Linked DNA regions of Diceros bicornis minor. Each later gene encodes a partner of the first gene's protein in a complex. Links are inferred from orthologs where the notes say so. Each region holds a gene or a part of one and is shown on either strand. Other genes may lie near its edges.

Evidence for each region.
Region 2: the proteins of NGFR (region 1) and ARHGDIA are in contact, whole or in part, in an NMR structure (PDB 8X8T), measured with the Homo sapiens proteins. The link is inferred for Diceros bicornis minor from reciprocal best matches to the Homo sapiens genes NGFR and ARHGDIA. Residues at the interface, in NP_002498.1 of Homo sapiens: Arg274, Trp275, Ser277, Cys278, Lys279, Gln280, Lys282, Gln283, Gly284, Ala285, Ser287, Arg288, Pro289, Val290, Asn291, Gln292, Thr293, Pro294, Pro295, Pro296, Glu299, Lys300, Leu301, Ile307, Ser308, Val309, Gln312, Ser313, Asp316, Gln317; in NP_001172006.1 of Homo sapiens: Ala8, Glu9, Leu11, Ala12, Gln13, Ile14, Ala15, Ala16, Glu17, Asn18, Glu19, Glu20, Asp21, Glu22, Val25, Pro30, Ala31, Gln32, Lys33, Ile35, Gln36, Glu37, Ile38, Gln39, Glu40, Leu41, Asp42, Lys43, Asp44, Asp45.

The regions. Positions count from the first base shown.
Region 1 is NC_080757.1:36,665,887-36,673,966, forward strand, and holds the start of NGFR (tumor necrosis factor receptor superfamily member 16), read right to left. Parts: upstream 3,352-8,080; 5' UTR 3,287-3,351; coding exon 3,218-3,286; intron 1-3,217. UniProt on the Homo sapiens protein: Low affinity receptor which can bind to NGF, BDNF, NTF3, and NTF4. Forms a heterodimeric receptor with SORCS2 that binds the precursor forms of NGF, BDNF and NTF3 with high affinity, and has much lower affinity for mature NGF and BDNF.
Region 2 is NC_080757.1:61,196,965-61,204,731, reverse strand, and holds the start of ARHGDIA (rho GDP-dissociation inhibitor 1), read left to right. Parts: upstream 1-4,115; 5' UTR 4,116-4,214; intron 4,215-4,554; exon of another isoform or gene 4,555-4,791; intron 4,792-5,757; 5' UTR 5,758-5,784; coding exon 5,785-5,974; intron 5,975-6,108; coding exon 6,109-6,192; intron 6,193-6,520; coding exon 6,521-6,597; intron 6,598-6,680; coding exon 6,681-6,744; intron 6,745-6,939; coding exon 6,940-7,139; 3' UTR 7,140-7,182; exon of another isoform or gene 7,183-7,458; 3' UTR 7,459-7,767. UniProt on the Homo sapiens protein: Controls Rho proteins homeostasis. Regulates the GDP/GTP exchange reaction of the Rho proteins by inhibiting the dissociation of GDP from them, and the subsequent binding of GTP to them.

The DNA.
Region 1 (8,080 bases):
AATCTTTTTTGCCATTTCAAGGCTTTCAAGAAATGAAGTTGGAAATACTCTTAGATGAATTGACTTTCACGAATCTTAAAAATTTTTAAAAATTGGACAAAATAGAAAACACACCAACATAGTTGAAAGACTTTGAAACTACATGAATGCTTCAGTGATAAATCTTAACCATTCACAACAGCTTCAGCAAAGGGTTCCTTAGGTGAATGGAGCCATTAGTCGCTGCTGTGGGGTTGGAGAGTTTTCAAATACATGGAGGGTCTTCTGAGGTGGATGCAAAACCAGGGGCAGCACTGGCACCTGGCCCCCACCCCTGTAGATAGGAGTTGAGTTTGGGGTGGGAGACAAGAGCTAACTTCTGAGGATGATGTTACCTGAAGACTTTGTAGGGGGCAGGGGCTCTGAGTGGGGAGAAGGGGCTCAGTTCCAAGTTCTTGGTGCCAAGGGCATAGGACACAGATCTAATCTCCAGGGTTAGTGGTCGTTCAGGGCCACATGTTCCTCGTGAAATGATGGCTGGGGTGGGGTGGGGAGGAGCCTGGCATAAGGAGGAAAAGAATAAGCTCCGAGCCAAGCATCCTGGATTCCAACAAGGGCGCCACCACTTACTAACTGGGGGAGCCTGGCTTCGTGCCTGAAAGTCTAGGAGCTTCAGCTCCCTCAAATGTAAAATGGGAATAACTAGGTACTCTGCTGGGACCTTATAAGCATTAGATAACGCAAGATAAATTACCCAGGTCAGTGCGTCGCACACAGCAGGACCTCAACAAATTTTATTATTCCCGCCTCCCCAGCCCGCACCCCTAGGGAAGAATCTAGGCGCTTGAGCGGGACCTGGCTGGTACAGCGGGGTAGGGACCCCTTCCCTCCTGGAGCCTCCTCCTCTCATTTGCTGCCCTCGCTGTGTCCCTATTAGGCGCATTAGCCAGCCCGGCGGCTCCGGTTACAGACGTCTGAATGACAAAGTGCCTCCATTACCGGCGCGGCCCGCCAGCCGACCCGCCGGGACGCGCTCTGGTTTCAGCACTCTCTCGCCCCGGCCCAGGAAGAAACGCGGACCGCCGCGGTGCGCAAAGCCAGCCCATAGACAGCAGCCCCGCGGCGAGGCGGAGGCGAGAGCCGCAGGCGCTGCGGGCGGCAGGTTCTGCACCGGGTCCATCTTCCCGAGCCCCCAGGCCCTCCACGCCCAGCTCCCCTCCTTCCACGCCTCTTCTCTACTCGGACGACACTCTCTCCAGCCCCGGTCCGGAGCCCACGCCCTCGCCCCTCGCGGATCCGCACTGCTGGCCGCTCCAGTCCCCCTCCCCCGCCCCTCCCCGGCCGAGAAGCATCTCCAACCCATGGCGTTAGTCAGCAAACGTGCCCGCAGTCACTCGCAAATCCCCGGACGAAGCCACAGGTACCGACAGCTCCAGGGAACCGGGACTGAGCTTCGGGGATGGGGCCACCCCAGCCCCCATATTCCACCGCCCGCCTGACTCAGCGGATGGTGTCCAGCACCACCACCCCCCCCACGCCGAGAAACGCAGCTCTTATCCGGAGCTGGGACGCCAGGCTGCCCCTAAGAGGTACGGGGAGTACCAAGCTGGGACTCAGGTGCGGGGCAGTCTAGCTAGGACTCTGGCTCAACTTGCTTGTAGGATCTTGGCCAAGTCGTTTAAAGTCTCAGATCCTCAGTCTCCTTATCTGTAAAAACGGGGATTTGGGAGCGCAATGCTCAGATGAGAGAAGAAGATGGCAAGGAGGGTGAGGACACTTCCTCCATTGCCAAACCTTCCAGGGCACTTGGTTCATGGCCACACACCAGGTCACATATCCTGGAAATCTGGTCAGAACTACCAGGCGGACTTAGATGCTTACGAGGACCCGCGGTCCTTTGCCGAGACAGAATCCGAGGCGTCCGAGCGCCTCCGTCTGGTTCGGTGCCCAGCATCTTCCACCGAGAGTTGGGCAGGGCGCGGGGAGAATCCCGACCGCTGGAGCGGAGCGAACCTTGGGGACAGCGCTCGGGCCGTTTAACTTAATGCGGGATCCTCGCGGGGGGCGGCGCGCGGCCCCAGTCGCGCCGGCAGCAGCGGATGGCACAGCCCTCGCGCCGCAGCGCCCCCTGCGGGCCGCCTCCGCCTGCGCGACCCGGGGCTGCGAGCTGCCGGGACGTTCCCAGCCTTGCGCGTCCCGGCGCTCTGCACTCCGCAATGTGGCGGCGGCCAGACCGGGTCGGATGACGCCCGCTCCATCCCTTCCGGTCCGCGGCCCTGCTTCAGACTGCGAGAATAAGCGCGTCGGAGGAGCCCGCCGGTCGTGGGGGAACCGAGGGAGCGGGTTCGCCCCGACGAAGCGGGCGCTCTCTTCCCAACCTCGGATCCCCAGCCGCAATTTCCCGACTGGGCGAGGTTGCGAGAAAGAGCGCGCGACAGACGCGGGAAACATCCGTGCCTCTACTCTCTCTTCTCGTCCCACTGTCCCTTGGTGGGCAGGCGAGTCCCCGACCACTTTAGAGTCCTCTCTCCCTTCTCCGTCTTCTTTCCTTTTGCTTCCATCTCTCTACCTCCCTTGCCGTCGGCCCTTTTCTACCCTCCTTAATCAATTTCTACCGTCTCTTCAACTGACCCTCGCTCCTCGAACCTTTCCCTCCCACGCCCCTCCCCCCCATTGTCTGGCCGGTCCGCATTGTCCGATGCCCGGTCCCCTCTGCCTCCAGTCCCTCCAACCTCCTCTCTCATTGTTGCATCCCCTCGTCTCTGGTTCCCCGCCCCAGCCCCGCTCGCCCCTCACATCTCTAGTCCCCGTCCCATTCCTCCTCCTTTTCTAGCCTGGGTTCCTTCCCTTGACCCTTCAGAGATCAAGATGCTCAGGGAGAAAGTCGCCTCGAGATCCCGGCATTCAAGCGCCCTCTTCCGAAGAACTCAGACATCCGAGAGCCCCAGGACCCCCTCCTAAGAGACTCCTCCCAGCTCCTCCACACACACCGCGGTACCGGAGGACCTGCATCCGTGCGCCCCTCTTGCTCGCATCTCTACCCTGGATCTCAGGGTCGCCTCTGCGCTCTGAGAACCCTAGACGCTCCTCCGTGGATCCTAACGGGAGCTCCTCTCCCGCCATCCATCCCCAGCATCTGGGACCTCAACGCTCTGTTTTGTTTTCCCTCGGGGAAACCTGAACCATCGGGGTCCCGGTTCCAGGAAAGGGAGCGGGCTCCCTTTCGGCTAGTACTCACCCCCAAGAGCAGAAGCAGCAGCCGCAGGCGCGGCCCGTCCATGGCGCAGCCGGCGGCACCTGCCCCCATCGCCTGCTTCCCGCGGCAGCGCTCGGCTTCCAGTTCAGTCCGCTCCGCGGACGGATAGGGCTGCGCGGCGCTGCACTCCAGCACCCGCCCCCCGGAGCTGGCCGAGGCTCCGCTCACTCTGGCTGCGGGCGGGAGGGGCTGAGAGAAGCCAGTGCGGCGGCCCCGCCTCCTCCCCATCCAGCCGGCCCACCCCCGGAACCGCGCCCGCCCGCCACGCCGCCTCAGGGAGGGGAGAGGAGGCGAAGGGAGGGCATGCGGGGAGCCGCGCCCGCGCGCCCCGCTGCCGCTTCTCCACGCCCTGGCCTTCAGAGCCGCTCCCCAACCCTGGCCCGGTACCCAGTGCCCGGCCCGCGCTACTGCGCGTCCGTCCCGGATGCTGCGGCTTGGGGACCAGGGCGTCCCCACTGCGGCTCCCCGCAGGGTTCACTCTCTTACCCGTCTTCCTCTGCCTCTGGCTTCAGCTTCTTCCCCGGTCTCCTGCTCTCTACCCAGCCTTTATCGTCAAGAATGCCCACTGCCCGCCCTGCCCTTCATCTTCTGGTCCATACCCGACCCCTACCCCTGCCCCTTCCCAGGGTGAGGGGGTTCTCCGTGCAAAGGCCTAGCGGGAGGGGAACGGTAGCAGGTGGCTTGACCTCGACCATGTGCAGCCGGGACATTCAAGGTGGCGTCCATCCCGACATCATTTGAATTCTCAAAAGATGGGTTTGAAGGGGTCACAGGTGTGCACACAAAACACAAGAATACACGCTCTCTCAAGCTCACATATATATGTCCTTACGCACCACATATGCCCACACCATCCTCAGGCGCTCGTGTGGATCTGCACGTTCTACACGTGCGTGTGCACCTCCACACTCAGGCACACATGCACACTCATTGCACGTGGTCATAACATTCAAACGCACACTCACCTACATATCCACATATGTACATGTGCAGTCACTTCCACACAAGCTCTCACATGTATAGTCTTTCACACAAGTGCACACACATTCGTGAACACACGCACATTTACACCCATACACAAACACAAAGGTGTATCCTCAACAATATAGCCTTCACCAGACTGTGGGTGTTTCCATTGGCTTATGATTCCATTGGTGTTCAGTGAAGGTCTGTAGAAGGGAATAAATGGAAAAGTGGTTGGATGGACTCACATCCATGTACTATGTAGGCGTCCCCAGGACCACACTTACCGCGCCCTAGAAACCTTGGCAGGTCTGATCATAGGCCCCTGCAACCCAGGGAGTGTGCCACCAGTCTTTTGGTGTGAACCACCACCTCTGCCACCAGGATGCTCACCGCCTGCCTGTCCTCAGCCATTCCTGGTTCCCGGATGTGAAGGCCCTGGAGCACAGAGCAGTGGGGAGCAAGTCTACAAAGCCCATCCTCGCCCCCTGATCTTGGCTATGTGTGGACCTCAGTTTCTACTTTGAAAAAAATAGTAGTACCCTCCCACATTTCAGGAAGAAGGGGGAGATCAAGTGTACAGGTGAAGAGGGCATGCTGGCTTTGGTAGGTGACTTCCTAGATCAGCTGAAGCTAACTCATTCATTCACGAACGAAAAAATCTACCCTGTGAATTTCTTTCTTGTGTAACCAACAAAGTCCAGGGGACAGCCCCAGAAAGGACACGTAGACATTACTGTGGCCTTGAACATGAATGTGGATGAGCCGATACTCCATGGCTGGGCATGAGGCCAGGCAGCTAGCCCCTCCTCAGAAGTCCCTGAGGATTCCTTCCTCCTGGACAGGGACCTCTAACCCTCTAAGCTGTCTCCTCCTCCCGCTGCTTTTATGGCCCTGCCTTTCCTCTCAGCTGAATTCATGGAAGGCAGGAAGGGGCGGCAGTACTAACAGCAGCATCGAGCTGCTTACTACCAAGGGTATCAACAGTGTGGCATTAATTTAAATACTTCTGTTATTAATTTATGATCCTGGTTACTATTATTGCCAAGGTTATCCATCTCAACACGATTTACTATGACCCACACTACCATGGCTGGGCCCGTGTTATTAATAATTTCCATGGTCCTGATCTTTTTTTTTTTTTTTTTTTTTTTTTTTGTGAGGAGATCAGCCCTGAGCTAACATCCGCCAATCCTCCTCTTTTTTTGCTGAGGAAGACGGCCCTGGGCTAACATCGGTGCCCATCTTCCTCCACTTTATATGGGACGCCGCCACAGCATGGCTTACCAAGCAGTACTTCGGTGCGCGCCCGGGATCCGAACCAGCGAACCCCGGGCCGCCGCAGCGGAGCGCGCGCACTTAACCGCTTGCGCCACCGGGCCGGCCCCATGGTCCTGATCTTTTAAGCCTTACTCGAACAATTACAAACAGCAATTGTTACTATTATTAGCAGTATTTCTATGATTAAGCCCCAGCACAAGACCACGATGTAATGCTGAGTGCTGGTGGGAGAGAGGCTGCGAAGTGCAGAGAGGAAAGAGCACTGAACTGAGAGTCAGACAGGCCTGGCCATAAACGCCTACACCCCCCACCCCGCCCCACATCTCTTACTCCTGTGTAGTCTTAGGCAGGTTATGTGATCTCTCTCAGCCTCCATTTCCTCTTCTATAAAATGGGAATTCAAAAAAAGATCCTAGGGGCCAGCCCCATGGTGTAGTGGTTAAGTGCCATGCTCCAGTGCTGGCGGCCCGGGTTCAGATCCTGGGCGCGCACCGATGCACTGCTTGTCAGGCCATGCTGTGGCGGCGTCCCATATAAAGTGGAGGAAGATGGGCACAGATGTTAGCCTGGGGCCAGTCTTCCTGAGCAAAAAGAGGAGGATTGGCATGGATGTTAGCTCAGGGCTGATCTTCCTCACACACACACACAAAAAAGATCCTAAATAGAATGAGCGTGGTGAAGAACAAAAGAGACAATGGTGTTCAGCACAAGGAGAGACTCAATCCACTTTTACTTGTTCAACACCTACTTCTTGAGCAGCTACTATGTGCCACACACTGTTCCAGGTGCTGGGGATACAGCAGCGAACAGTAGCAGCTGCCCTCGTGGAGCTGATGTCCTAGTGTGTTAGTTATTTGATGTGAAGGGCTATTTTATAATGTGACATATATACCAAAACCAGCACCACTGTGACCCCCATCGCCATGACGCCAGCATCACTGCCAGAACCCCCACAGCTACCAATCCCACAGTCATCCCCATCACTACTGTGACTCCCACAGCATCATCCCCACCATCCCCATCATCCTACGACCGCCACGGCCGTGGCCACCACCACCACCTGCCTTCCAACATCTGCACCAGCAGCAGCAGCAGGGATTCCTGTTCCTAAGGGATGCTGGATACTTGGGTCCATCCCTTGTCCTTGGAACGATATCAGAGGCCATATGGAGCCACTGCTGCCTGAGCCTACCTCCCTAATGGTCATGGCCCCAAATTGAGTGTCCTTCAAAAATTTCTCCCTGACCCAGCCCCTCTCCCCTAATCCTCAGCACCTGCAGCCACAGCTGTGGGATAGGGCATGGGGAAGCGGCCCTTAGGAGCTGACCAGCAAGTGGGACCAGACAGGCAGCGCCCAGGGGCAGAAGTTTTCATTGAAGGGTCCCCCAGAACCATCTCCCATAACAGAGCTATACAGATAGAGGGTCCCTCCTTCCACCACTCACACACCAAGGCTTCCTGGACCTAATAGTGACCCCAAGGTAAAGGGTGGAGAATAGCAACGCAGTTCTACATGGGGCTGGGAAGGTCATGGTGGGTCAAACTGCACCTTCAGGAGTAGAAATGGGAGGGGTTTGCTCCTCTCCTATTCATCCCACCACAGCTCCGTCACCCTGCCCCTCCAGGAAGGCAAGCTCCTAACACACACTCCCTGTCCTCCTGCTCCACTGGGACCCTTCACCTCTGCAGAACATTGCTCACAGCTCCCGGTACCCGTCCCCAGCAGTCACTGGGGAACCAGCCTGCAGCCCCAACGCACTTCCGAGCAGAAATGAGAGAGGAGAACTCAGGTTTATTGAGATCCACACAATTCTCTTCCTTAATCCCCACTGCAAAACCATGAAGGAGGCACTGAGATCACCATTCTACAGATGAAGAGACTGAGGCTTGAAGAGGTTAAGTCACTTGTCCAAGGACCCCCGGAAGGCAGCCATGGTACCGTAAGTGGCCACTGTCCCGCACAAGGCCGTCCACAGCCACGCTTCTCCATGCTAACCCCCATGTTACAGTCACTCCTCCCCTCCATCCCAGCCCATCCAGCCTTCACCCCAAGGAGTTGGGGAGATAGAACCTGCAGGTCAGAGGGACTGCACTGTGCCCTTCAATGCTACCACTCAGATGCCCCCTCCCGACACGCATTCACAGAATCCGGGCTTGGGGCTGGGGTAGGATGGGTGGAGGCAAGCAGGGCATCACCTCTGCCTTCTGATCCAAAGCGTGATTTCGAAGTTCCCTTAGCGAGCACTCATTTCTCCTGCTTTGGGAGAATCACCTCCCCTGTCCTCCAGTTCTAATGTCCAACCAGAGAAGGGGTGAAGGGAGATGAGCGGGAGACAACAACATCTGAGGGAGGTGGGCAGGAGGTGCCGGGCCTCCCCCAGCTGTATCCCATCTACCCTGGGCGGGCGGCCAGGCAAGGTAAGTGAAACCTGCTGCCCCCATTAGGAGCCTGCTCAGTGGCTTTGAAGCGTGATGTGGTGATTACCTCCAATCGGACTCCTCTGGGCCTTGAGGGGGGCCTGACCAATGAGGGGGCAGGGTGGGGCCTGGGGACTGGTTTGGAGTCAGCGCTTTGATTCTGGAGCTGCATTAGTAGTGAGA
Region 2 (7,767 bases), about 25 Mb from region 1:
GGATCCCGGGCGCACACCGACACACGGCTTGTCAGGCCATGCTGTGGTGGCATCCCATATAAAGTGGAGGACCATGGGCACAGATGTTAGCTCAGGGCCAGTCTTCCTCAGCAAAAAGAGGAGGATTGGCAACAGATGTTAGCTCATGGCTGATCTGCCTCACACACACACACTAAATAAATAAACAAATAAATATTTTTTAAAAAAAGAAAGAAAGAAAACAGCAAATTAACAAGATACAATGATGCCTGGGCTGTGAAGCAAGCATTTGAGCTCAACAAATACATCTAACAGAGATTGAGGTTATTTATTCACTTCTTTTCTTCTGTGTCTGTGTTGGGAACAAGGTCAGAGGGTAACCATGTTCTTATGGAGTATTTACAGTAGCCCTCAGGTACCCCGTCTCAGTGTCAAAGCTGGGGTGCTGGGGTGCGGCATTGCCAATCGAGTTCCTGCCGTGGGAGACTCTACAGGACAAGTGACCCCGGTCCTTCAACAGGACACTACATGGAGCAAAGAGAGGACAATCCTATTGATTAAGACACATACCAACTAACTGCAATGTGTGAAACAATTTGATTCTGATTCAAACAAAAAGTAAAAGAACTCACAATAAAATCAGGAAAATACTGGTTGGATCTTTACTGATATTTAGGACTTGTGTTACTTTTCTTGGTTAGTATCCCAGGTACTTTCTGCTCTATAAGAATTACCTCCCAAACTTGGTGTAAAACAAGCACCATTTTGTTACGTTCACGGATTCTGTAGGTCAGGGGGTGAGACAGGATGGTCTGTCGGGCACTGTTGGGCAGGTCTTCTGGGTCTTTAGCCTCAATTTTCAGGTTAAGAGAAGCCAGACCCCCAACCTCGCCCTCACCTGGGTCCTGAGCTGAAGCCACAACGGGATGAGACTTTGGGGGATCCTGGGAAGTGTTGTGTTTTACAGGAGAGGAACGTGGGTCCTTGTGGCTAGAATAAAGATGGCCACACAGTCTTTCCTTCTCTTCCCACTGAAAGGTGGAGTCTAACTCTCTGACTTTGAACTTGGGCTGGCCCAACTCATGGGCTTGGCCAGCAGAGAGCCACACAAGTTTGGTTCTGGCACTTCTGAGTGGGCTCACATGAAGCCCGGTGAACAAGCCTCTCAGAACTTGCTCTTGGAGTCCAGCTGCCAAGATCCCATGGGCGTTGTGCTGGAGGTCCTCAAGTTGACAGCCCCAGGGGAGTGCTGTATGACAGGGCCCTCTTGGCCGGCCACCTTCATTTGGCTGCAGCACGACTCAATCTGACCGACACTGCATGAGAGCCCCAGCTGAGTTCACGCAGCCCCCAGAATAGGAGAGAGAATCGTGACTCGCTGCTCCAAGCCACCGCATTTGGAGTGGTTTGTTATATAGCAGTAGAGACAAGGACCCAGCGGGATAATGGTGCTATGGCTATTGTTCACCCTAAAAAAGGATCCTTTTCCTTAGAAATAAATACATACTGAAATATTTATGGTGGAAATGACTTCTGGGGGTTGCTTCAAACTTGCTGCGTGGGGGGAGGTGAGGCACAGATGAAACAAGATCAGTCACGAGCTGATACCCGTTGAGGCTGGATGGTCTGTCCACTTGGGTTCATAATACCATTCTTTCTACAGTATTTTGGTGCATGTGGTGGGCCGCCTTCAAGACAACCCCAACGGTGCCGCTGCCTCCTGGTCCTCAGGCCCCTGTGTCCCCTCTCACCCGGTGCCAGGAGAGGTTTGTGTGACCAATCTAGTAGGGCGGAGCTAGGGCACTGCTAAGGTTAGATTGTAAGACACCTTGGCTTCATCTTCAGTGCTTGCTGTTTCCCTGGCTCTTGTTCTTTCTGTCTCTGTCTGTCTGTCTGTTTGTCTGTCTCTGAGGCCTCACATGGGGAAAGCCAGCTGCCCTGTTGTGAGCAGCCCTACGGAGTGGCCAGAGCCGTAGGTGGCAGAGAACTAAATCCTCCAGCCAACAGCCCACAAGGAACTGAGCCTCCTGCCCACAGTGCCTGCATTAGCTTGGAGTTCCAGCACATCTTCAGGGACCACAACCTCATGAGAGACCTGGAGCCAGAACCAACCCGCTAAGCTGCTCCCTGATCCTCAGAAACCATGCAAAATAATAAACGGTTGTTGTTTTAAGCTGCTGAATTTCAGGGTACATTTTTACACAGTAATAGATTACTAATAACATGTATGTTTGAAATTTTCTATAATAGAGTTTGGTTTTTTTAAAAGCACTTGGGTTATCCGAAAGCCAACTTTTCCTCAACCAGCGACTCAGACAGCAGTGCAGGGGGACAGTCCGCTGTGGTATTCCAAGTTTACAATGACAAGAAGCCTCAGAAGCAACATAGTGAATACCCAATTAGAATGCTCTGCTTTCCGCCAACTAAACTTTGTACACATAAAGCTGACAGTGCAACTCCTAGTTACAGAAAATAAGCAAATATTCCTCAAAAATTGAGAAATTTCCAGAAGATACCAAAGTCAGTATTTTGCATTAAGTTCAATTTCTGAAAATGCCCTCCTACGTACAATGCAGTTGTGTGTATATGTGTGTTTGTGACAACTTCTGTCTTGGCCTGGGTTCCCTGCCTTTGTGGAGCTTAACAGTCATTATAGGTGGCATGAACTCATTACCACCTTATTACAATTCTACAAATGCTACAGGCTGGAGGTGTGGAGCCGTTAGGGGCTTGGACCCCACAAGAAGAAAGAGGAGTGCTGGGCTGGGGTTTGGGCACTCCGGCCTTCAGGCAGACCAGCCCCGGGCCAGACCAGCCCCATTTTATGAGGCCCCTCCTGGTGCTACAAAATGTTCCTTGATTTAGCATGTGGGCAAATGTCTGAAGTCTGCCAACAATTGGAGCACACAAACGGAGAATTCTTGGGTCTGTGATGAATAGCAGACTGAGAAAATCATGTCATCTGTGCCAAGAGCTTCCAAAGTCACAAGAGTCAAGGAATTCCGCAGTGACATGTTTTTTCCCTGAAGTGATGCTCATGGCAAGGAAACCAAATGTGCTGAGCCCCCAAGAATGTTGATTTAGTCTGGAAAAAAAAAGCCTGAGGGCTGCAGGCCTGGGGCAGCTCTGAGCCTGTGTATGCTTCTGGCCATCCAGCCGTGTTCTTCAGGAGGGGACAGTGGGGCAGAGGGCCACCAGCATAGCCTTGGACAGGTTACAAAGATACCAAGAGAGGCCCCAGAGCCCAGGCTCAGGCCAGGGGTGACCTGGACACCGGTAAAAAATAAAAAAACTACAGGCCCAAGGTGGAGTCACTTGCCCCCAGGACCGGAAACCAAGACTTAATTGCAGTTTCACCCCCTCCCAGGAATGTAACCTTACCAGTCGGGAAATTCCTGATCAACAATAGTGAGGTCATCTGCCTGCTAAGACCCCTGCCGCCCTTCCCCCAAAGAAAGGTGATCTTGCCTGAAAGCATCTTTTCTTTCCTTTTGCTAATTACTTTCTTGTCCCACCTAGTTTCTTCCTATAAAAATCTTCTTTTGTACAACCCTTCGGAAGGCCTGTTTATTAAATGGGATGCTGCCTGATCCATAAATCCTTGAATAAAGCCAATTAGATCTTCAAATTTTCTCGGTTGGAATTGTTTTTTAACACCACCCACGGAGCGTTCTTTGAGTGGTTAACGTGAGCTGATCGAAGAAGGTCCAGCGTTAACTTCCGAGAGGGTCACGATGGCGAGAGGACGCGAGAGGCCGGCTCAGGTGGGAGGGCGGCCGTCGGCTGGCCTCGGGTGGACCCTGCCGTGCACGCGGAGATGTTCCAGAGCTTTACAGACGTGCCTTACAGCACCTCGCGGAAATGCCACGACGTACGTGGGGCGTGAGCAAGACCGTGACACCGCCCGTCCCTCTACTTTGCGGGCTGACCCGTGGGGACGGCCGGGACCGGAAAATGCTTGCAGCAAAAGGCGCAAAACTACCAACTGGGACCGGACTTCCTAGGCGTCCCGAGCCCGCCCGCCGCCCACACGGGACGCACCCACCACACCAGCCCGGCAAGATGGCACCGGCACGCTCCCGGCAGACCCGCGCGCCCGCGCATGCGCCCTGGCGTGTGGCGCGAGCGGAAGTCGCGTGACCCCGGAAGTGGCCGGCCGGGAGCGCGCGGGCGGGGCGGCGACGTTCGTCGTTCCGTGCGGGAGGGAGCGCGAGAGCTGCGCAGTCGAACCTCCGGTGAGCGCCACGGCGGGACGGCGGCGGCAGGCGGGGCGGCGGCAGCGGCAGCGGCAGGGAGGCGCGGGGGCCGCGCCTTTGTTCGCTCCGCCTGCCGTGGGGTCTGCGCGGGGCTGGGGCGGCGGTGACAGCCGGCGGAGGCCGGGCCGCAGGGCGGGCCCACGTGCGGCGCGGGCCAGGGGCGCGGACCGGGGGCTTAGGCCTCCTTTGTGGCCGCCGCCCGTACCCCGCGGCCCCTCCCCGCCGGCGTGCGCCGACCGGAGCTAGGCTGACGTCCCCTTCTCCGGGGCACCGCGCCCCACCCCGCGCCGCGCCCGGCCCAGATTGCGGGGCCCTGCGGAAGTGCGGCCGCGGCGATCGCCCTAGAGGATCCTGTCGCCTGCGGCCGCACTTAGTGACATTAGGGCGTGAGCCTTGTAGAGGAATTCCAGAGGAAGCGGCAGGGAGGCCTGGGAAAGCGGGCAGGCCCCACCCCGCCTGGGGCGGCCGGCGGCTCGGGGATCCCTGCGGCCCTTTGTGAGATCTGGTCCTCGGGCGAGTCCCAGCTGCCAGCCTGGGCCTGTGGGGAAAGGCTTTGGTAATCTTTCCTGGGCAATCTGAGGCCTGGGGTGGGCTGGGCCTTGACCCATCTCCTACACCACCCGGACCTATCTGAGTGGGTTCCAGACACTCCTCAGGAAGTCTCTGGGCTTGCAATGGGATTTTTAGCTGAAGGAAGCCCAGCGGCTGCCTCATGCAGTGCTCCCCGCTCTGAGAGTGCTGCTCCAGACTCGCCTGGGCCAGGATCCAGAAAAAGGGTCTTGAAAATACTGGAGCTGCTGCAGCAGTTCCCAAATTGTAGGTCACAGACTCTCACGATTGGAGAGAACGTTGGCAGACTCTTAGGATCCCCTGTGCCCTTTTGGGACCTACATGTGGGAGTCAGGCTGGCCTCATCATCTGAGCTGTAGGAGAGCCCTGTGTTTGCAGGATGAGGCAGAACTGACCTGTGTCCTGCACAGAGGCCTTGCTTCCTGGCTAGGACAGGGCAGAAGGAGCATGCCTGGTCCTAGGGAGCCGGGTCTCCCTGACCCAGTGGGAGGAGTCCCGTGGGGCGAGGGCCTGAGCAGCTCAGAAAGAGCAGCAGGACTTCAGAGGTGACAGTTGGGGGTCTGCCGGCAGGGCTGGGGTCCTGCCTCCTCCTTGGGGGCGGCAGAGGTGTGCCTGGTCTCCCAGAGGAGCAGGCTGCGGGTTCCATTTAGTCCTGGGTACTGTACCTAGGCTGGGGTCCTCTCAGACTGCCCCAGTGGGTCCCCTGAGATGGGCAGGGCGAGGAGGCAAGTATAGCCCCGCTGGGTTCAGGAGCCTATGTCTGGGTTCTGGCTGCAGGCTGCCCTCCTGCTCTAGAAGGTGCACCTCTCTTTGGGCCGAGATACGGGGCCTGGCCACCTGTGGAGCAGCCTTCGACACAGCCCGCCTGAGCTGGCTGCAGGGCCCGCTGAGGGGCGGGAGGGGGGAGACATTGTGGGTCCCTCCAGGCTGCCACAGCCCGCCTGGCCCACAGGTGTCCCAGACCCAGCGAGAGGTGAGCATGGCCGAGCAGGAGCCCACAGCAGAGCAGCTGGCACAGATTGCAGCTGAGAACGAGGAAGACGAGCACTCGGTCAACTACAAGCCCCCGGCCCAGAAGAGCATCCAGGAGATTCAGGAGCTGGACAAGGACGATGAGAGTCTGCGCAAGTACAAGGAGGCCCTGCTGGGCCGTGTGGCTGTGTCTGCTGGTGAGTGGGTTGGGGTCACACAGAGGGATACCTTGTCACTCTTCTGGGTTTCTGCTGCTGCTGCCCCCTGGTGGCAAGTTATGGGTGTGTGGGAGGCCCAGGGGGTGGAGCACTAACCTGCTGTCACTCCACAGACCCCAACGTCCCCAATGTAGTCGTGACCCGCCTGACCCTGGTGTGTAGCACCGCCCCGGGCCCCCTGGAGCTTGACCTGACAGGTGAGTGGCACCTTTGAGGTCTCTGGCTGGGGCTGCCTGGCACCCCCACCCCTGCTTTCTCTAAATATAGTTTCCTGGAGCTCTGCCACCCTCTCGTGGGGAGAACAAGAAGTGCAGCCAAGCGGTCTTTGAAGTTGCTGGTTTTGGAGTGATCTGGGTCCTAGGTTGGGGGTGCCAAGGGCTATGTGTGCAGGGGCAGGGGAGACGGGGAGTAGAAGGGGCATCCCGCCAGGGCCCAGATGGCAGCGGGCAGTCACAGATGGGAGATGCCGAAGTGAGTGGCTTCTGCTGGCTGAGCCCCCTAGTGTGGTGTTCCTCCCAAATACAGGTGATCTGGAGAGCTTCAAGAAGCAGTCATTTGTGCTGAAGGAAGGTGTGGAATACCGGATAAAAATCTCTTTCCGGGTAAGGCAGAGGCTGTGGCAGGGGCCGGGAGGGGCCAGGGCTGGAGAGCCCGGCTGAGCCTTGCCTGGGGTCCCTCCCTGCAGGTGAACCGAGAAATTGTGTCCGGCATGAAGTACATCCAGCACACATACAGGAAAGGCGTCAAGAGTGAGTGAGGGTGGGCACCAGACCCCAGCCTCTAAGAGAGAGATGGCTGCCTCTTGGCTGGCTCAGGGCAAAGGGCTTAGGGACCAGGAGGGAGACAGGAAAGGCAGTGTGTGCCCTCGGCCCAGCTCTGCTCCCTGGCAGCTGCCCGGGCAGAGGTGAGCCACACTGATGACCAGTGCATTCTCTGCATTACAGTTGACAAGACTGACTACATGGTGGGGAGCTACGGGCCCCGGGCAGAGGAGTACGAGTTCCTGACTCCCATGGAGGAGGCGCCCAAGGGCATGCTGGCTCGAGGCAGCTACAACATCAAGTCGCGTTTCACAGATGATGACAAGACTGATCACCTGTCCTGGGAGTGGAACCTCACCATTAAAAAAGAGTGGAAGGACTGAGTCCTGGGTCCGGGAGGCAGGCAGGATGGACAGACGGACGGACGTACGCACCCCACCCCTACCACCCCACACCCCCTTCCTGACCCCATACCAAAGTGCTGACAGGGCCCTTGGCCACGCTGCCATCATTCCCACCTTGTCTGCCTCCTGGTCGGGCCCAGGCAGAGCTCCTCCAGCCTTTCCCTCCCAACCCTCCCCAGCCAGCAGGCCCCAGCCTCCTGGGTGGTCTCGTGGTCTCGTGTTGTTGCTGCTTCCGCCTGTGCTGTGGGGAAGGGAGGCTCCAGCCCAGGCCTCTGCCTCCTTTTCTGTATTTCTCCAGGTTCCCCAACCTGTGCTAACCTGACCTGAGGCCCTGACTTTTCCAAGGGAGTGGGACATCCAGCGGGCTCTCGTGGGGTGCTCAGGTTCCCCTGGTCCTTGGCAGTTGCCCTGAGTCTTGTTCTGACCCACCCCATCTGGGGTGGGGGTGGGTGCACAACGCAGGGCCTTGTGGGGCCAGTCATCCCCCAGCTTCCATCTCTCCCAGTCAGTTCATCCATTGCCGTCAGTAACCGTCTAACCATGATGCCTTAACATGTGGAACGTGTGCTGTGGGGGCCATCACTAACCTCTAACTCCCCTGTTTGCA